4 linked regions of the Arabidopsis thaliana genome follow. The protein of the gene in region 3 interacts with the protein of the main gene of each other region in a biochemical or structural test. Each region holds a gene or a part of one and is shown on either strand. Other genes may lie near its edges. The genes, in order: EXT-like, ZAT6, MPK6 and NIA2.

Region 1 (5,185 bases), on a different chromosome or scaffold from region 3:
TTGGCATGCAATATATTGAAATCAATTAGGGATAAAAAAATGCAAGTAGCGAGAGAAAGGTTTTACAAGGTTTAGGAAGTCTATCATCCAAGTCAACACGAGCACGGCGATGGTAAGTGACCGGCGCATAGGGAGCCACCGTAGCCATTGCGTCTCTCTCCATCATCTCCGTCTTTGACCCCATCTCTCTCTCACTTTGTCTCTAGACTGAGTGCAAATGTATGTGTTTGTCTTAGAGTAAAGAGTATAATGAGGTAATAATAATAAGAATCGATTTGATTGATGTGCGTGGCGGACATGCACGCGCCGACGAAAGCAGCGATTGACATCTCTCTTTCCTTGTCTTTGACGCACATCTCTTCTCTCTTCCTCTGTCTTACACTTGACATGACTCTAGAGACACGTTTTCTTCCATGTTTCATCACTCTTTCTATTCTTGTCTGCTAAATTCAGTAATTCGGGCCTCTATGGGCTTTTATATAGGCCCAACCTCGAGTACTAACACCACCCGCTACATGAGTGCGTGTCCCACACTCGCTCTTTACGTGAAGACTGAAGAGGAACTCCATTGCCTATGTATGTATGAATGTACACGAAGTTGCAAGGAAAATTTTATGATAATAAGAATAATTCACACAAATTTTCTTTGTAAACGAAGTCTGAGCCTGAAAAGTTAATAAACAAACCCACAAATGTTGAGAACACACACACGCACTAACATCAACCCCAAGTGTCATAGATTAGATATAAAATTCAGTGACCGGCACCGGCCGATGGATTTGTTAGCAACTCAAGTGACTTCTTGAGATGTTCTACAGCAGTCGAGACTTCATCAAAAGCCAAAGCTCCCACAGCGAATCTAGCAGCCTTGAGTGCCTCTGCAACCTTCTCAGGCCCTGGCTGGTAGCTGCTATCGTAATGGTACTTCTGAGCTGAACTCGGTGCAGGATCTAGCACGGGAGCAATATTGATACGCCCGTTTGATGAGTAAGGTGGAGGAGGAGGAGCAGAGGAGAAGCTTGTGGAAGAAGGAGCAGGTGCAGAGTGCGGAGAAGAATAGTAAGGTTCTGGGTTTTGGTAGTGAGAAGGGTAGTGGGGAGAAGTGGATGGGAGGCTGCTCTCACTAAAGCTAGGATAAGATTGGAAATTAGGGAGAGAATTTGGAGAAGGCTCATGAGATGAGTAGTTTTGCGGTGGCGGCATGTGTTTTGGCGGGTCTTGGTGGTATGGTTGATGACTGTAAGGATGCGGGTAAGGGGAGTCTGATGGTCCTGTGGGAGGGGGAAGATGATCGTTGGAAGGGTAAGAAGACGGTGGTGGAGGTGGGACATCTGCGGGATAATCGTTGGTCGGATTGTCATAAAACCTGGGAGGTAGAGGGTGTTGTGGCACTTCAGGGAATTGATGGTGGCTGGAGTCATCATTCGAGTCATGGGGTGGATCAAGCTCTGTTCTATGATGACTTGTTGTGTTGGTATCACTTGCACTGTGATCCTGTAGATAATTAACATGCACAAACAATGAATCGATTAAGTTGATGCAGACGTTTTATCATAGTGTTTTGACAATTGAGAAAACAAAAACCTAAAAGTACACAGGTGGGTGTGAATGTGTGTGTCTCTAGCTAGATGATTTTGATCAGCGCTATGCGAATTCTATAAACATTTACGCTCCTAAACACTTTTCGATATTATTGGACAGAATACACGCTAAGCCAATATCAAGATATTTCCAATCCATAAATATTCAAGAAGAGAAACTTACATAGGAGCCACTAGGACCGCTTGATGGGATGGATAAATCAGTATCATCATCCACAGGATCACCTGGAGTGGGCTTCCTTCCTTCTTTAATGGCTTTCCTTATGTCAGCAGCCTTCCAAGCAGCATACTTGTGTTTCTGCTCTATCTGTTAATGGGAGCCATTACATATATACACATATCAATCTCCCAACACAGCTGCCTCTTAAGGTGATGTTAAGTGAATAAAAAAAGAAGTAGGAACTTACATCAGGAGGTACGGGACCAAACTGGCTCAGAATTTCAAAGAAGATGCTCGCAGCATAAAAAGTTTTGGCAGTGCCCCTGTCACAAGCACAACAAAGTTAATTTGGATAATCCATCGCAACTCGGAAGCCTATGTAATTGAGTCAAATGAATGCAGGTGTTAGCACTTATAAAATAAGGATACAGACAGTAATCGAACTAATATCAGTATCCAACCATGCATAGAAACACATCAATGCTGGAGATACAGGTATTTCGCAAAAGCAGAACAGGTAGAAGACAACAGGTCGAGATAAGCCTTGGATGCATCCAACTAATTACTTAACCCGCTATCTTAAACGATGGTAGAGGAAGGTATCACCTAAAAACATGTCTGCCGGACATGCATACTCATTGTAAATGTATGTGTACTTGCACGCTATTTCCAGTATTGGCAAACACAATAATACTAGACAGACAATGAATCTATAGAATCATGCTAATTCGACTCATTGAGCTAGTGTTGACGGTGACCCTAAAATTATTAGAAACTTGAGGGCAAAAAAAATGCCATTCTATATATAATCAAACATAAGAGCAAAAAAAATTCTTACAAGTCTGCTCTTCCTGCACGATCCTGCTTGTCTGCCTTAGCAAAGACACTAAGTGCAAACCCCTCCACATGCATATTGTCATCTGGGGACAGAGTCAATGATTTTTTATCCTGGAGTTACACAAAAAAGAAATCGCCATAAGAAACTGGAACTAATCAAGAAATTGCCTCATGAACTCTGTCAATCACATGAACAAACCTAAGCTAAATTTAGATATAAGCCTCCTTACCAAACACAAACATAAATAAAAAAACTCCAGCTTTGTAACAAGTAACAACATATAATAATCAAAGTCAAACACATCATGAGAATTACTAAGAACCGGTCCTTTCAAATCTAAACAAGTAAAAAATCAAACAAGCTGAAATAAATCAGAAAAACTCACAATTTAAAACTTCAAAGGTAATACCTTTTCGAGTTGATTAATGAGAGACATGAGAATCGAATTGGTGGTCTTAGTTCTCTCGCTCTGCGGAATCTTCAATCCTCGTTCCATTGCATATAGCCGACCTAATCAATCACAAAATTCCATGAATACACACAATCGCAGGAGGCGATCATCTAGGTTAGATATAGATAAGAAAACGAAACTCACAGTAATAAGCAACAAGTGGTTCATGCTTCTGCAGCTCATCGGCACGTTGCAGGTAAGGCAGAAGAGCCCTGGCTGGTTCGTTTGGGTTCGACATAGATTCTCTCTTCTCTCGAGCTCCGTAGCTTTTTCTCCGATTGATTTGTTAAGACAAAACAGCTCAAGAAATTTTCCTGTATTTAACGCGCTTCTGATTGCAAACTAGAAACGACGTCGCAGAAAGGACCTCTAAAATCCCAAACCTTCTTGGAAACTTTTTAAACTTTTAAATCATGCCCAAAAGATCTTTCAGTATATTACAATTTTGCCCAAATATTATTTCGTAATTCCAATTAGAACCTTGACTTTCATTCACTAAACCGGTCACTTCACATTAGTCATGCTAACAAGTACCAAACAAATTTGAGTGAATGAATACAGAAACAGAAACATCTAAGTAACATTCTACTCTCATTGTCTTTGTTTCTAAGTGTTTGTTTCTTAAACAGCACTATTAGCAACTAACAAAAGTGTAAGTAAGCATTATAACTCTCTTTCTTTTGATATTGTCACGGTGAAGCCATCACTGGGTCAGCACGAGAGACTGGAGATGCAGCATCATCTTTTGTGTTGGCTACAATGTTCGAAGGTGAAGCTATCTTGTTCAGACTGTCTCTCTTGGACTTGCTTCCGTTCTGGTTTGAGTTCATAGACAAACGCCTCATAGGAGTTTCGTTGAGCCCTCCTCCATTGACTCGTGTTCCCACCGGTTTCTTGGCACTAACGGGTCTTGCAGGGCTTGGTTTAGACCCAAAGGCGGATTCTTGATCTGTGTGTGGCTGTTCTTGCTGCTTCTTCTGTTCCTGTTAATGAAAAGGCAAGATTATTTTAAAAGAAGTTAGTTTCAACAATCGGTTTAACACAGGATGAAACAACTTACTTTCAGCCTCCGCTTCTCATCTTCTCGTTCTTGCCTAAGCATAGTGTATTCATCTAGCATGGCGAGTAAAGGAACTCCATCGTACTCAAAGGACATACTGTTCTCCTCTTCCCATGCCCGGGTTTTAGCAATCAACGTGTCAACCATAGCTTGCACAAACAAAGTATGATATATTCTTCAGTCTCAGTTTAATTCTATGTGTAGTAATAACTAAGAGAGACTTTTGGAAGTTCTTACCAGTAATCTTGCTGACCAGAATCCGAGCTTTCTCAGCTCTCTTGAGATTCAAATGCGCACCTCGGCTTGCACTATACCTGTTCTGATCCTGTTTTTCCAGAACAAAAACCCAAAAGAATCATCAATTGAACTCTATGCTTAATAAGTAATGTGTTTATTAACATAGCCAATGTTAGCATACTCGATTGTAATCTTCGAGCCAGCTCTCTTCCTCACAAGCTGACATCCATTTCTCTACACGGTCTAAAATTTCTTTTCTACTAAAGGCTTCCTCCTTGGCCTTTGCGATCTGGCTATCCATGTCAGCCAGTAACTCAGTAGGTTCAGTATTCCCAGCATCAATCAACGACATGATCCTCTCACGAACAACCTCTGGTTTTATTTCTATGTGAGCACGAGCATATATCTCCTCAAGCTCTGATTGCTTTTTGAATGCAATTTCCTTCATTCTGCTAGATTTCAGTTGATCAAGCCTATCCACTTCCACCTCAGCCTTCAAGAGTTCACAGAAGATTTTTAAAAGCAGTACTTATCATACACATTGATTGATACATTACAAATTTACGATACCTGTTCGATAAGATCAAGTGCGAGAGCACCAGAGGCAGTCACTTCATGAACTGAAGCTGAAATGTTAGAGGTAACATGGTCAAAAAGCTCCCTTTCCTCATCAGAAGTATCCATCAGATTCCATAGATCAGTTAGCTGAGTAGCTAGTTCTTGAAGCTGCATAAAACCAAGATACATTAATGAAATCCACAAACAAGAATGGTGCAGAGAAAAGTTACAAACTTTCAGCGCAATTAATCAGAAAGGATTTCAACATATGTGCAGCCTA
Region 2 (3,567 bases), on a different chromosome or scaffold from region 3:
ATATACAATAATTAAGTAGAAGAAGAAAAACTCCATCTCAAGTATAAATATTATCTTTGTTTTTCTTATAGTTATCGCTCTGTGTGTCGATCAAACTATGTTAGCAGGTTGTGGCCGAAAAGCTTTGTATATTTTAAGAACTCATTTAGGTCATACAATGATGTTCCCAAAATGGTACATATCTGATAAAAAGGATCTTGGTCTTTACTCTTTACTAATGCGTCGTTCAATCTCATTAGATCATTTTAAATTTGGGGTACACCTAATTTTTATAGTCATATAATCACATGGAGTTAACTTTACACTTTATAAAGAAATTATGGCATATAAAAAGAAAAGCTCTCTTTTTGTTCTTAGATTCAGTACATTTATATTTATGTGATGTAAGATGATGGGAGATCAACTTGTTGGGTGTTGCTGGTCACGACGAGCCTATGTGGAAGTATGGTTGGATATATGATGGGCTCAAAACTTGTAAGTTAGGTCATACCGGCCTACCAAACTAAGTAGGCTAGTCCAACGGATTAACAAACTGGCCCGTAAATTAGTCACTTTCGATATGCTCTCTTATTATGTATGATGTATCCAAGCAAATTTTGATACGTGTGAAACAATAAAAAGTTATATCTTTTTCAGAAACATCAATTATACAACAAAGAATCATAATTTTTCAGTGAAGAAGAACATCAATCAAAATCGATATTTGTATATACAGTAAAACAATTTCCTATAAAATGAATTCTGTAAAGTTTTTCCTAGGTTTATGTTTAGGGTTTCTCCGGGAAGTCAAACCGGAGTTTCTTCGCCGGCATAGGACTCATCACCTCTTCGTCTCCGTTGACCATCGAGAATTCCGGTATCGGCGGTATGTTGAGGTCAAACCCACGGTGGCCACTGCTGACGTGGCTTGTAGACCCCACATCTTCAGAATTCGACACGCTACTACTCACACCGCCTCCGTTCTTTCCTTCGTAGTGGCACCGTTTGTGGCCGCCGAGAGCTTGACCGGTGGCGAACGATTTATGACAGATAGAGCAAACGTGCGACTTCACACTTCCTCCCCCGCCACCGGATATACCAGACGTGGTTATCGCCGACGATGTCGACAGCTCATCTCCTCCGGCAGATTGAGTAAGCGAAAAGCTTTTCCGGTGACTTGCCTTGTGTCCACCAAGAGCCTGGTAAGACGAAAACGCCTTGTCACAGACGCTACACTTGTAGATCGGAGTAGGAAGAGGAGGAAGCAGAGGAGGTGAAGACGAAGAAGAAGGCAGGTCAAGGTCACGGTTTCTATCTCCGTCGCGAGCAAGAAGCATGAGACATAAAGCGATATATTCATCCTCCGTGAGACTCTGACGGTCGAATTCAGATCTTGATCGCTTAGATCGTTTGCCTTTGCTTCCATGAAACCCTAGTGCTGAATCTTGAAACAGAGTCGGCATCGGAGAAGATAATCTTGGAGAAGTAAGAGTTTCAAGTGCCATTATCTTGAAGACTAGCTACTAAGTTCTAAATTGAGAAGAAAGATAATTGTAAATGAAAAGATTTGATTTGAAGAAACAAGAAATGAAAGTGTGTGTGTTATATATAGTAAAGTCAGAGGAGTCTGAAGAGGAAGGAAGTTGCGTGTCGAGAGATGAGAAAGAGTTGAAGAAGAGTGAAGAAGTCGATAATCACTTTAATTTGATATATTTATTTTAATTATATATAATGTTGTGTGGACTAGAGATGAAAAGTGAAAGTATCTAAGTTTGGTTTGGGCACATTTGGTTTGACTTGGTACACGTGTTTGTGGAAGTCGGCTAAGAAGACTTGTTCTCATTTCTTTCTAGTAAGTAAGTAATGCCGCCTTCTTCAATTCTTATCACTTAAGAATATTCTAGAGAGCTCTCACTTAGGTGTTTTGCTGACCAACCAACCAACCAACCAACCAAGTGGAGATACAAAAGGCCAAATTAAGTCGGCTACTTAACCAGTTTTACTGTCTTTTCATAACTTATCGAATTAATACCTACTATTAATGTCTAAACCCATCAATATCAACGTAACCTTTTTAATTTTAATCTCGAGGCCCACTTGAGAGATGAATATGTAACCGCTTAAAAGGTGAGGTTTCGAACTTGGGTGAAAGGAATGACCTAGTGAACTAGTGCCACTATAGTGCCCCCCTTCTAATGTAACCTTTATCTATGTTTCTTCTTTAGGTTTGGCAAACTATATCATGTTGACAAATTTGTATTGGGCATCAGTGATTAAATCTATGATATTTTTAAAATTCATCTATTAATAAAGCATCCAACTAAAAACGAAGAAAAGAATGTTAGAATTAAAAGATATAATGATATAACAAAGGGAATGTTTCGCCAAAGTACGAAAAGAAAGGTTACTATAAACCTAGGAATAGACGAAATTTTTTTAACCATTTTATTAAGTTTATGGTTGAAATATTTATTAACAATTCCTCCACAAAAATTGCAAGTAGAACACTCGAGCCACTTCTAATTTTAACCACTCAAGCCATTTCTACATGATGACCACTCGAGCCATTCCTAATTTTAACGCATAACCTCAAAAAATAAAGAGAAGACAGAATTTAAAGCACAACCTCAAAAAACATATACTGATCAAATTTGTATATATAAATACATCAAAATCGCAATCTTTATAAATAAATAAATAAACAAAAAAATAAAAACAATCTAATTAACATCCCCAGAAAAACAAAATGAAACGTCTCACAATTGTTCTCATTGTTTTAGTGTTTTACATTGGAGATACGCATGGGAGAAACGTATTAATGATAGTAAACAGGTTACCAAAAAACGCAACCCTGAAGCTCCATTGTTATTCAGGGGACGACGATTTTAAGACCATGTACTTGCGTCACAATGATCCACCACAAACTTGGCGTTTCAAAGATGCTTTCTTCCATGAGACACAATTTATATGCAATCTACACCAGGGTTACCATTGGGCGCATCACCGTTCGTTTATAGCTTACAAGTCAAGTATGAACACCTCTCAGAAAAATAATGCAAATGCTACATGGTTCGCCGGTGAAAAAGGAATCTACTTGTCCTTTAACCAGAGGACTCCTGAATTTATGTACATCTGGATGTAAACCAATCATAACCAGTTGCTCTTAATTTTATGTTATAATTAGTATTCTTGGTTTGATGTCAATGTATAGTACTATATATCTAGGATAAATTAATAACACAGAATGTAATATATCGGAGACTCGAAAATATGTCATTACATATGAATGTTGGCTATATATACGTCATATTTTAATTAGGTCGTCGTAGTTTCGAACGGAAAAATTCATCACCATCTCCCTCCTCTTTCTCTCCAACATGAAACTTCTATCGTTTCCTCTTTTTACTTATGTTTGTTCCTTTTTCTTGATGGCTACTTATTTTTTCAAATATTATTTTCTAAGATATTTTATGAGAAAACAAAATATGTTCTAAATCATGGATTATTAATTAGAATATATATCTTTTTGTGATATTAGTAACTATTATATGTTTATGTCACTAGATTATATTTTTTTCAAAATGTATT
Region 3 (5,155 bases):
AGGAGAGAGAGCTCACAGATAGAAAGTGCAGAGATTCCAAGAGGAAGAAAAGCAAAAAGAGAAAGGTGCTTACATAACAACTGCATCGAGTTTAGTTTGAACATCTTCTATAATTCTGTTGGCTTGAAGCTTTTAGCTTACATTGTGTTTATTGATTTGCAGCATTCGAAAAGGCGATCATCAGACTCAAGCTCATCTTCTGAATCTTCAAGTAGTGACAAAGACGAATCTAGGAAGTCAAGGTCAAGTTCTAAGAGGCCAAAGAGGGAGAGGAAACACAAGTCTAGAGGCAGACACTCAAAACCAAAGTAAAGATGAGGCTGATGGTCCTGCACCACAATCAAAATTCTTTGGCAGTCTTAAGAGTTGACACAGTGCAAGACTTGAGATTGTGTTCATCAAATGCTCAATTTTCACCCCGAGGACATGATTTGTACTATCCTCATCTCCCTGCAATATTTCTCTCCCTGCTGTTTTATAAAACAAGAAAGCTGACAGTAATGGCAAGTATTTTGTAGAGGAATTGAAGGTGGGCTATCATAACATAACTATTTCTGAGACAATTTAAGTCTTAAATAACTGCAACAACAAAATGAGGGCAAATTACAAATACGAATAGGAAAAAAAAAAACAGAGAGAACAAATTATCCAAAAGACTGAAATATAAAGTTTGAGACCCATCCCCTTCAACATCTCTCACAAGTATACACAAAAGACAAACAATGATCTTTCCTCCTTTTAAGAATGTTGTCCAAACCAAATAACGCCAAACCCTTATCTCATCTTCATCTCCCAAATGCTGTTCTTCAAACTATTGCTGATATTCTGGATTGAAAGCAAGCGCCTCGCGGTAGATTAGTTCCTTCATCTGCTCCTCTGAGAGTGCATGGTTTTCAAAATCAAAGTTGAAAGGTATTGTACACTCTGGCTCATCGCTTATGTCGTGCAACGAGTTCAGGTATGGATGGGCCAATGCGTCTAAAACTGAATCAAGAATCGAGAATCAAGAATCAATAAGAGGTGATGACTACTAACTAACTCTTAAATAACCAAGAACTCATTATTATTATTCCTTCACTAGATTGAATCTTTTTTCGGGATTTTGGAATGATCCGTACAAGCAATTCCAGTTATTTTGCAAGTTAAAAATGGTATAGAGGTTAGGGACTAACCTGTGATTCTCCGTCTAGGATCAAATGTTAACATCTTCTCGATAAGGTCTATAGCTAAAGGATGCACTGTCGGGAACTTATCAGTGATGGATTGGCGAGGATAAGGTGGAAGCTGTCTTATGTATCGCTTTGCGTTTTCGTTCAAGAACTCGAGCTCTTCTTCTGATGGAGTTCCTATGAGCTGCAAAAAGAAAATGGTCTCGGTCTGTTTCTTTAGTGCTTCAAAGCTTATTTTTGGGTCAAAGAAGGGTTACTACTTACCTCCATGAGCAAGCGAAGCTGATGGACATGATCTCGTCCAGGGAAGAGTGGCTTACGGTCCATTAACTCCATGAAAATACAGCCTACAGACCAAACATCGATAGCTGCAGTATAATCAGAAGAGTTTAAGAGAAGCTCTGGTGCACGGTACCATCTCGTGACAACATATTCAGTCATGAAATCACTCTCAGAAGTGACTCGAGCTAGCCCAAAATCGCAGATTTTTAGGTCGCAGTTTGCGTTCAGGAGGAGATTACTTGGTTTCAAATCCCTGTGAAGCACATTTGCAGAGTGAATGTATTTCAATCCACGGAGGATCTGGTAAAGAAAATACTGCACAAAGAGACAAGTGAAATGGAGTTCAATTAGTCCCCGTTTTCAAGTCGAGTTATATAGGTCAACAAACAATCTCAAAACTCAAAACCTGGCAATGTTCTTCGGATAATGCTTGATTTGACCGAATGATTTGATGGAGATCAGTGTCCATTAACTCATACGCGATGTAAACATCGTTGAAAGCGTTTCTTAATGGTGGCGGGATAATATCTCTGATTGCAACAATCTGATTTAACAGAAAGATGGTAAGTGTTTTATCAATCGGAAATGTTTTACACGTTGCAAACGCCAACATAGATAAACGGTTACATTTTACGATTTGATTTCTAGAATTTAAAATCTTGACGCAGATGGAAAAGATCATACTACTGAATAAGCGCGAAACAATCCGTATCAAACCGAAAAAAATACAAGCACACTGTGTCAACATTCATGTATATTCCCTTAAATCTAAATGCAATAAGCAACCACCAGATACAACACATTCATACACAGAACCTAATCAGCCCATACAATATCAATCAAATATATACATCATCTATTTACCTAAACAATTTTGCATCAGCTAGTAGTTACCATGTTTCGAGTGTATTTAAATCTACAATCCTATTATGTTCTACATAAGACTCTATAAACAGATGACTCTTAGTTAACAAAGAAAGAGCAAAAACTGACATTTTCATGATCCATGTGACGAAGCAGCTTGATCTCACGGAGAGTCCTCTTAGCATCAATCTTATTGTCAAAAGCGTTAGCAATTTTCTTAATCGCAACGCTCTCGTTAGTTTCAGAATTCATAGCCGAACTGCAAAATCAAAATCAAATAAAACCACAAAAGGATAAAGCTTTCATTGAAACAAAAATAAATCCCAATCATAATTAGAGCTCAAAAACGATACAAAGGAATCAATTTTACAAATTGCGGATCAAAAGTAACCAACTTTACCAAAACCCAATCAACAAAAATCATTTTTTATTTCAATTAGAAGCAAAAGCCAAAAATCAAAAGAATCGGAGAAAAATTACCAAACGATGCCATAAGCACCCTTGCCAATAGGCATGATCGGAGGCTTATACTTAGCGGTGACCTCGAAGATGTTTCCAAATATGTTATACTGAATAAACCTACCACCATGGCTAAGAGTCGCCGGAATATTCTCAATCCCAGGCATCTGAGGCGATGGAGCCGCCGCGGGAAAACCTCCAGGAGCTTCTGTCATCTCTGTATCAGCCGCCGGTTGACCTGAACCACCGTCCATGACCGGTAAAGATGAAAGCTTTTGAGGTTGGTGGTGGTGGTGGATCGAGAAGAGGGAAATGGAAAATCTTTTTTTTTTTTTTTTTTTGTAATTTTGGGGTGAGTGAATTATGAATGAAATTGGAGAAATTGATATTCGTTGGTTTTGGGGTCAAAACAGATCTGAGAGACAAGAAGTGAAAGTCATGTGCGTACGGATCTATTAATTTTTTTATTTTTTTTTGGGTCTTCACTTGACCCGTGTGTGTAAGCAAGCAAGCAAGCCACTGTTCAAAGTTTGATCCTTTATTCTCATGTTTAACACTGTTATGGTTACAAACGGCATCGTTTTACATTGACTTATCACCATTTTTTTTTTTGTTCCATTGACTTCCTTCCTTAATCGTTATCATTAACAAGTAACAACAGCATTTTTTTGAATGTAAATGTTGGGTGAAAATGAATCATAGATAAATGTAGTTATTATCATTGATATTATGTTTTTGGGTTGTACTTTAATTTTGAGATTATTTTTGTAACATGAAAAATCGCTAAATTTTATGTAGATTGAAAAACACAAAAACTTATAAACCGCCAAAAGTTATTAGATAGTATCTAAATTAACTATTTAAGTATTTAAAGTTCTCTATCAAGAATTTCGATGAACTTGATAGTCGTATAGTGTGAATGAGGCCACAACATGAAACATGCTTGGTTGAGGGTTATTTGGATTTTTAAAAAGTATGGTGGTTCAATTTGATAATATTCCAAAATTACAAGGATCATCTCAATATTTTTTACATAATGAAGCAATAAATCTCTTCTCTTGTGTTATACAGTTGGGTTCGAACTCGAGACGGCTTGCTTTCTGCCTCTATCCCTCTTTCACACGAGAGCTCTTACTGGGTTTAGGGTTTTCGATAGATTGGTAAGTGGCCACGACACTAAGCGTCACCGAACCAGTTGTCAACTAAATAGGGAAACTTTAGGCTTCTGTCGCATTTAGGCACGATTCTCTGTAGAAGAAAAAAATATCAGCTTTGTTGTATCTTTCGGATTTTCGAGTGATCATCAAACCTTCATCACCAGGTTCCTTTCGATTCCATTTTAATTTTGTGGACTTTGGAGTAATTTGCTTAAAGAACCAATTTTTGATTGATATTTTCTGCTCTCCTTTCATTTTGACATTTTGATCTGGTTTTGAGAACTTTGGTTGAGTAACAGTAGCCTGCGTTTAAAAGATGTTAGCTTTGGATGTATAGATGTAGAGTTAGGTTTCTAATTGCCTTTATTTTTGCTTTGGTTGATGATTTATGGTTGATTGACTCGTTAAAGGGAAGTGCGCTGATTTTGTGGACAATTATGTTAGACTGATGGGCATGAATGTGACCAATTGATTTTCTCTCCGTTTCCATTATGATGCAGAAGAAAGTTCTATTTTGCTGAAATGTTTTGCAACTTTCAGTTGTTCATTCATACCATGATTGTACTCATCTTTGATCTCGTTGTGAGTACTATCACTTACTCTTGGCGTAGTAGTTCTTAGGATGAGGTATAAGTATAACAATTCGAAAATTCGTCGTATTCAATCTGTGTAATCTGTTTTTCACTATATGAACAATATGTCAATGTCCTGCGATGCCTCAGGGCTTCTGGAGTCACTTCTGCAATGTTAAAAAGAGTAATCAAAAGTTGTTATATCATGCTTCAGAGTTCTCTCTTGTTATTCCTCATCTTAGTATTTATGAAACTGTGATATTGAAGATATAACATAATCTAATACTTCTGATACTTGGGTCTCTTCTGTAACATGTGACACATTGGATCTTGCAGGTTAAAGACTTTGAAGTAATGGCGGGATTTCCAGGTTTTAGTTACCTAGGCCCAAAAGGCAAGAACACGGTTGTAGCTGGTGGCTTGACAGCTTTTGTTTTTGGGGTATACTTCTACACAATGAGGGCGGTTGGTGGCACAGACGAGCTTCAAGTGGCTATAGACAAGTTCGAAGGCCAAAAACAGGTGGACACTGACACCAAGGTTCCATCTAAGGTCTAATCCTCACTGGCTTGATATGTCCAACCAAACCCGTTATTTATCTTTGCTTTCCAAGCTTCTTTTGTCACGAAAGTGGCTCGTTTCTGACATCGAG
Region 4 (5,957 bases), on a different chromosome or scaffold from region 3:
TAAGTTCTTGAAGTTATGAATCGTTGATATATGATTTTATTTAGATATATATATATATATATATCGTAACATTTTCTATCGGTTTAATAGCACACTATTTTTATATAGATATGATGTTCCTTTTGGATAACTTAGAACATAACTTGTGATGCTGTATTAAAATTCTAATCCTGTAATGGAGAAGAGTTTGGATGCTAGAAACATACTTTATAAACATGTACAATTTTAATAAGAACAAATTGAATATTAACTGAAAACTCTAAAGATTCTCAAACGATTGATATATTGTTAAACTAATCACCCAAAAAGGAAGAGTCTTCTAAATTACAAGTTAATAAAACAAATGAAAAAAGTAAATTCACTCCCCCTAATCTTAAATCATATATGTGGTGAAGATTAATATAGGAACTAATGGACGAGTTTGGTTTCAACTTGCACAACAGGAAACTACTTCGCTTTGGCTTTATTCTCTTTGAAAATGATTATTGGTGTCTAATAGCTGTAGAATTTTTATTTTATTTTTTAACGACAAAGACATATGAAAAAATGAACATATTCAAATTGATATTCATAATGTGAAGTAAACGCAGAAAATTCAATGTACGATAACCTAACCACAAAAATTTCTGAAATTACTTTTTGTATATTATTGTGAAAAAAAATATCGATCGTGAATACAACGAACACATTATATTTCCAAATCCAAGACTTTAAAGAACCAACATTATATACAAACAAATCCCTCAATACTTATTTAGAATCTATCATAACACTAGGCTTTTTGACGACTTAACGTTTTGACTTTGAAATATCTTGGCTTTAGACTAGAATATCAAGAAATCCTCCTTGATGTTATATTGCATCTTCTCCAAATTCGGCTGAACCGCAAACTGAATCATCGGTGGTGGTCCGCAAGCCATGGCAAGGGCTGAGCCATCTAATCCATCAGGGATATGTTCTCGCATAATCGCCTCGGAAATAAACCCGGTACTGTATGCCCAACCTTCCTTAGCTGATTCCACTACGTACCAAACCTTTAACCGGTCCGGGTATTGCTCTGCCCAACCATCCAGTTCCTCCCTTAGGAGAATATCTTCCTCGGTCCGGTTAGCATAAATGACGTACATTTCAGTCTCATCCTCTGGATCCTTGAGAATGGCTTGGATAATTTGGTAAACCGGAGTTATTCCGGTTCCACCTGCCAACATTGCCAATTTATCAGCAAACTTTGGTTTACCGTGAACCGTGAAACTACCCTTGCCGAGATACTCAACGTGACCCAATGGTCCTTTAATCTCCAAAGTTGACCCTATAGGCAAAGAGTCTAGGTACTGAGACATGAGCCCGCCGTTAGGGAATCTTGGGTGGACACCGCCAAAGTAAATCTTGACCACGAGCTCGAAGTAGCCAACCACATCAACGGTGCTGCTTGGTGTGTAAGCTCTGAGGCAGAGCTTGTCATTGATGGTGGCGCAAAGGAAAATGTGCTTACCAACCGGTAAGCCTAGAACCATATCCTCAACCGGTAAAGCAAACCGGAATTTACGAACATCATGAGAAATGGAAGTCTTTTCGACGAGTTGAACCGGGACTTTAGCCCGGGGATTAACCAAAGCGAGGTTCCTAACCGGAGTCGCCTCTCCAATGGGAGCCAACAGCGAGAACACGGCGGATGAACCGTGAACCGAGTTGTTAGGCGAGGAAGAGTCAGAGGAATAACCAGTGGTGATGAGCTCACCGATACGGTAATCCTCAAGCATCTTCTTGGCTTTATCCGAGTGAATGGCTTCAAACTCCTCCGTACAATCCGTACCAGCATTGATCAAGATTGAATCCGAACCACCCGGGTGATCCATAAGGAATCGTGTACAATCATAGATATGTCCATGGACAATGATCCAGCAAGAGTCAGCCGAATTATGCTTCTTGACCTCGGACATCGAGTACATCTTCGCAGTTGTGTTCATAAACGGCGTCGAGACAGACTTCTTTAGACTAGGAGGCGCGTCAGCCGATTTTTCGAGGTGACGTTCCTTCGCCATCCATCCACCAGATTCATTACCAGGAAGCGTTGGATGCTCGAACACAATCCCAATCTCTCCCTTGTGTGGCTTGCACACGTTAGTCTTCACTCTAAACCAGCAGTTATTCATCATCCCCATGAGATTCCATATCATTTTCTCGGGCTGCGTGTTGAGAGTCTCGTCCCATGCACGAACAGCAATCTCTTTGGCACTAAGCAAGTCCAAAACCTCAACCTCAAGTGACCAAAAACACCAACACCAGAACTTCCCATACTTGTTTGGCTTCTCTTGATGGTCAAGTGCACATACGTTCCATGTCTCTCCACCATCTACCGTGACCTCCACACGGGTCACTTTTTTTCCACCTCCTGTTTTTTTTTGTATAAAGATTATTGTTACTATTAAATTAAATCATCCTATGAAATAACGTATTTATTAAATTAAAATGTTAAAAGGACAAGTACCGGAATATGCGTAACCCTTTAAAGTATAAGGTCTTTGGGTTGTGAAAGCGTTGATGGGAAGAATCTCCTCGTGACATGGCGTCGTAATCACGGAGTTTATGTTTAGCTCGTTGATTATGTACTCTGGCTTATACCACCAACCTAAAACAAAACCATTGAATTTGAATTTATGTAAGTCACAGAAGCTGACATCATCCACCAACATTAGTTTTTCATTTTTTAATATGATTTCTGTTTTTGTTTTTCTCCTATAGGTTCGGAGACTTTTTAAACATATCAATTAGTTCATCTTAATGAGATTTATTGAAGCAAAAAGATTTTATGTACCTTCTTCGTCGGCGAGTTCGGCGTCTACCAAAGAAGGTAAAACTCTGTTGTCCTTGAAATGGTAGAAATTGTCGGATTCTTTAGTTGTGACAATGATTCGTTTCAACCATTTAACCATCCGGCCACCAATGAAACCGGGGATGATGATCCGAACCGGAAAACCGTGGTCTGGTGTTAGATACTCTCCGTTTTGCATATAAGCCAAAATGATGTCTCTTGATGGATCCATGGCATATTCCTTCTTGATGCTCGTTCCGTATTTGGAACCAGCAGTTCCGGCACCGCCCGGAAGATCCTCCGACCCTTCGAAGCAGACGTTGAGAGCGCCGCCTTTTCGGCTAAAGATCCCGCAGCGACGCAGTACGTCGCAGAGAGGGACACCACGCCACACGGAGGTGGAAACTCCGGCGGATCCCCAGTTGAATCCCTTTGACTTCTTCACCATGTTCTGTTCCTTACGGCGGTTCCCCGCGCAGACTAGCGTCGCGGCGAACTCGCGGTAAGCAAACTCGGAGACGAGCTGGTCCATGGTGAATTTCATGGGCCGTTTGACGAATCCGGTCACCTCGACCGTCCATTCGGCCCATTGGGCTTTAGGGACGTGGCCGTGGTTACGAACGTAGTGCAACGGGACAGGGGTGATAAACCCGTGGTGCATTAAACGGTTAAGAGGCGCCTCGGAGTTGAAGGGATGTTTCCCTGTGAGACGTACCATGGAAGGGTTACGCTCGATCCAGCTATCAGCCGTGTATTCGTCCCTCGGGTCCAAAACGGACGGTTCAAGCTCGGCGTTGGATTTTCTTATCATCTCCTTGTAGTACACGGCGTTGCTGTTGTGTGTCTCGTTCTCGTCTTCGCTCGACACGTCTTCGTCATCGTCATGAACCTTGGCTGGTTTCAAGAACACGGTTTGGTTGGTGGTTTGGTTCTGGTGCGCCTTAGGGGAATCGGACCGGCCTGGAACGGGAGGTTTGTAAGAACGAACCACGCCGTTCAAACCTGGCTCGAGACGAGCGTATTGGCGATTATCTACAGAGGCCGCCATGTTGGAAAGTGTATAATCGTAAATAATGTAGAAAGCAGAGCCTTTTTCTCTCTCTATCTCTCTCTTGTGAGTGAGATGAGATCTGAGGACGAAAATGCATCGTTGGTGGAGATGAAGTTATATAGGAGAGAGCCTAGTGGTATGCTTTTAGGAAGTATCGTGCCGAATCACACGTATGGGACCATTTGTGACTTTTTAATTTTTTTCTTACACACTTACTATTAATTTTTTCTTATGACTTGACTTAATTAAATAAACCATCCATTTGTTTGACAAAAATAAACGATCATAGTTATTCAATAAGCTTAAAATGATCATTTTTGTCCCTATTTGTTATAAAACAAATGTGAATTGTTGGAGTAGTTTTGTAAATACTTTTAACGTCTCGGAAACATGTATAGATTTTTTTTTGTCAACTAAGAAATGATGACAATTGAATAATATATTATTATCTATCATTGGTTATTTCCTGTAATACAATATAAAAATGTGATCAAAACATTTTCCTTTTTATTTTAGTCGAATTTGTTTTACTAAAAAATATGTTTTCTTATTCGTGACACAAAGCCGTATTTATTTTTAATGGAAAAATAACGATAAAAGATGACAAAATAATTAAGAGCAATAAAATTAGTAATACAAAAATCGTGGTGATAATATTTTCATACTATTAATTTTAATAGTTTTTGTGATCGGTAACTATTAAAACCGTATATATATATATATATATATATATATATATATATATATATATATATATTTTGTAAACCGTATATTTTTTACCAGTAAATTAAAGAATTATCAATGTGTTAACATAGGAAGAACGTTCCTTTTATTATTGAGATTTGATAATCCTTTTACCCCTGGTTCTAGTTTAGAAGTTTATCAATGTTCTTATATCCTTCAGTTAAACATAGGAACAACGTTCCTTTTATTCTTGAGATTTGATAAATCAATTAAACATATTATCAGAAAAAATCTAATAATCATACAATATTTATTTTCTTATTAAACGTTATTTTCAGTAATATTTTCTTATTAAACTGTTTTTTAGTAATATTTTTTTTTGATAAAATTAACAGATGTGATTTTCAGCAATATTGATGAGATATTAATTATTGAGTAATCTAATTTTTTGTATACATTATTATAACCTAAAATAGTTCCTTGAATCATCTAAAAGTTTAAAATACCTATGTATGAATGTTGGAAAATGAAAAAAAAAAAAAAACTGAATGATGGAAAATGATCACGTTCATCTTTTTCCTTAAAATAACTACAAAATTATTTCTCTTTTTGATCAAGATGCAACATTACAGCCACCTATATATTAGTATTACTGTTATTATTGTTTTTCTTCGGAAAGAATGGCGGTGACTAATCAAAACCGACGGAGCCACGGGTTCAGCAGATTCAGTGGGTAAATCTTTCTTTATTTAAGACTTTTTTTTGTTGAAAATTTCATTGAGTAAATATTGAATATTGATTTTCTTGTGAACTTCTAATTTTGGGTAACCAATATACATCTTTATTTTTTTTATATATATATATATATATATACTTCTTCTGTTATAATATATAAGATATTTCACTAAAAAGACAAAGTTTAAGATATTAATTAATATTTTTACATTAAAAAACATATTTTGATATTTAATTAAAGAGAGTTTGCTAATGAATTTTTTACTGCAGAATAAAAATTTATCTTTTGAGATGTGAGATGAAGATTAAATCTGTGAAAGAAAAAAAAGTAAAAAAGACAGTTTAAGTTTAAATCATATGGTACTATTTATATTATGTTTAAGTTTTATACTTTAAAAAGGAACATGAAAATTTAGTTGATTTCAAGTTTCCACTTTATTTTTTTTTATGCTAACCTTTCATGTTAAAGTGTCAAACAATGAAAACTAAATTTGTTGCGAAGACTATTACTATCCATACAACAATTTCTATTTCATAGCACAATTTCTTAAATAAGACTACTTGCATATAGCAGTTTCAATATATATGATTTTTATATACCTAACTTTACAAATAAGATAATCAATACAATATATATAGTATAGTTAATATAGGGAATTAGGGACGAGTGATATG

Evidence for each region.
Region 1: of the proteins of MPK6 (region 3) and EXT-like, one has a biochemical effect on the other in vitro, tested with the Arabidopsis thaliana proteins (one study listed by BioGRID).
Region 2: the proteins of MPK6 (region 3) and ZAT6 form a complex in vitro, tested with the Arabidopsis thaliana proteins (one study listed by BioGRID).
Region 4: the proteins of MPK6 (region 3) and NIA2 form a complex in vitro, tested with the Arabidopsis thaliana proteins (one study listed by BioGRID).

The regions. Positions count from the first base shown.
Region 1 is NC_003075.7:13,475,095-13,480,279, forward strand, and holds EXT-like (hydroxyproline-rich glycoprotein family protein), read right to left. Parts: upstream 3,430-5,185; 5' UTR 3,289-3,429; coding exon 3,195-3,288; intron 3,110-3,194; coding exon 3,009-3,109; intron 2,710-3,008; coding exon 2,600-2,709; intron 2,085-2,599; coding exon 2,009-2,084; intron 1,909-2,008; coding exon 1,765-1,908; intron 1,495-1,764; coding exon 754-1,494; 3' UTR 523-753; downstream 1-522. Other genes in the region: ATS1 (peroxygenase 1), read right to left, coding at 67-184; MAP65-2 (microtubule-associated protein 65-2), read right to left, coding at 3,740-4,033, 4,111-4,259, 4,348-4,435, 4,529-4,840, 4,918-5,073. UniProt on the Arabidopsis thaliana protein: Involved in the endosomal multivesicular bodies (MVB) pathway.
Region 2 is NC_003076.8:1,215,554-1,219,120, forward strand, and holds ZAT6 (6), read right to left. Parts: upstream 1,810-3,567; 5' UTR 1,485-1,809; coding exon 768-1,484; 3' UTR 505-767; downstream 1-504. UniProt on the Arabidopsis thaliana protein: Probable transcription factor that regulates root development and phosphate (Pi) acquisition and homeostasis. Probably acts as a repressor of primary root growth and regulates Pi homeostasis through the control of root architecture.
Region 3 is NC_003071.7:18,136,350-18,141,504, reverse strand, and holds MPK6 (MAP kinase 6), read right to left. Parts: upstream 3,260-5,155; 5' UTR 3,029-3,259; coding exon 2,796-3,028; exon of another isoform or gene 2,575-2,795; coding exon 2,445-2,574; intron 1,996-2,444; coding exon 1,858-1,995; intron 1,767-1,857; coding exon 1,434-1,766; intron 1,354-1,433; coding exon 1,173-1,353; intron 985-1,172; coding exon 812-984; 3' UTR 517-811; downstream 1-516. Other genes in the region: AT2G43795 (corepressor), read left to right, coding at 1-65, 163-370; AT2G43780 (cytochrome oxidase assembly protein), read left to right, coding at 4,454-4,513, 4,840-5,061. UniProt on the Arabidopsis thaliana protein: Mitogen-activated protein kinase (MAPK) which regulates abscisic acid (ABA) responses in a MAPKKK20-MKK5-MPK6 cascade involved in root growth (e.g. root cell division and elongation) and stomatal response.
Region 4 is NC_003070.9:14,156,520-14,162,476, reverse strand, and holds NIA2 (nitrate reductase 2), read right to left. Parts: upstream 4,026-5,957; 5' UTR 3,861-4,025; coding exon 2,816-3,860; intron 2,630-2,815; coding exon 2,489-2,629; intron 2,393-2,488; coding exon 825-2,392; 3' UTR 539-824; downstream 1-538. UniProt on the Arabidopsis thaliana protein: Nitrate reductase is a key enzyme involved in the first step of nitrate assimilation in plants, fungi and bacteria.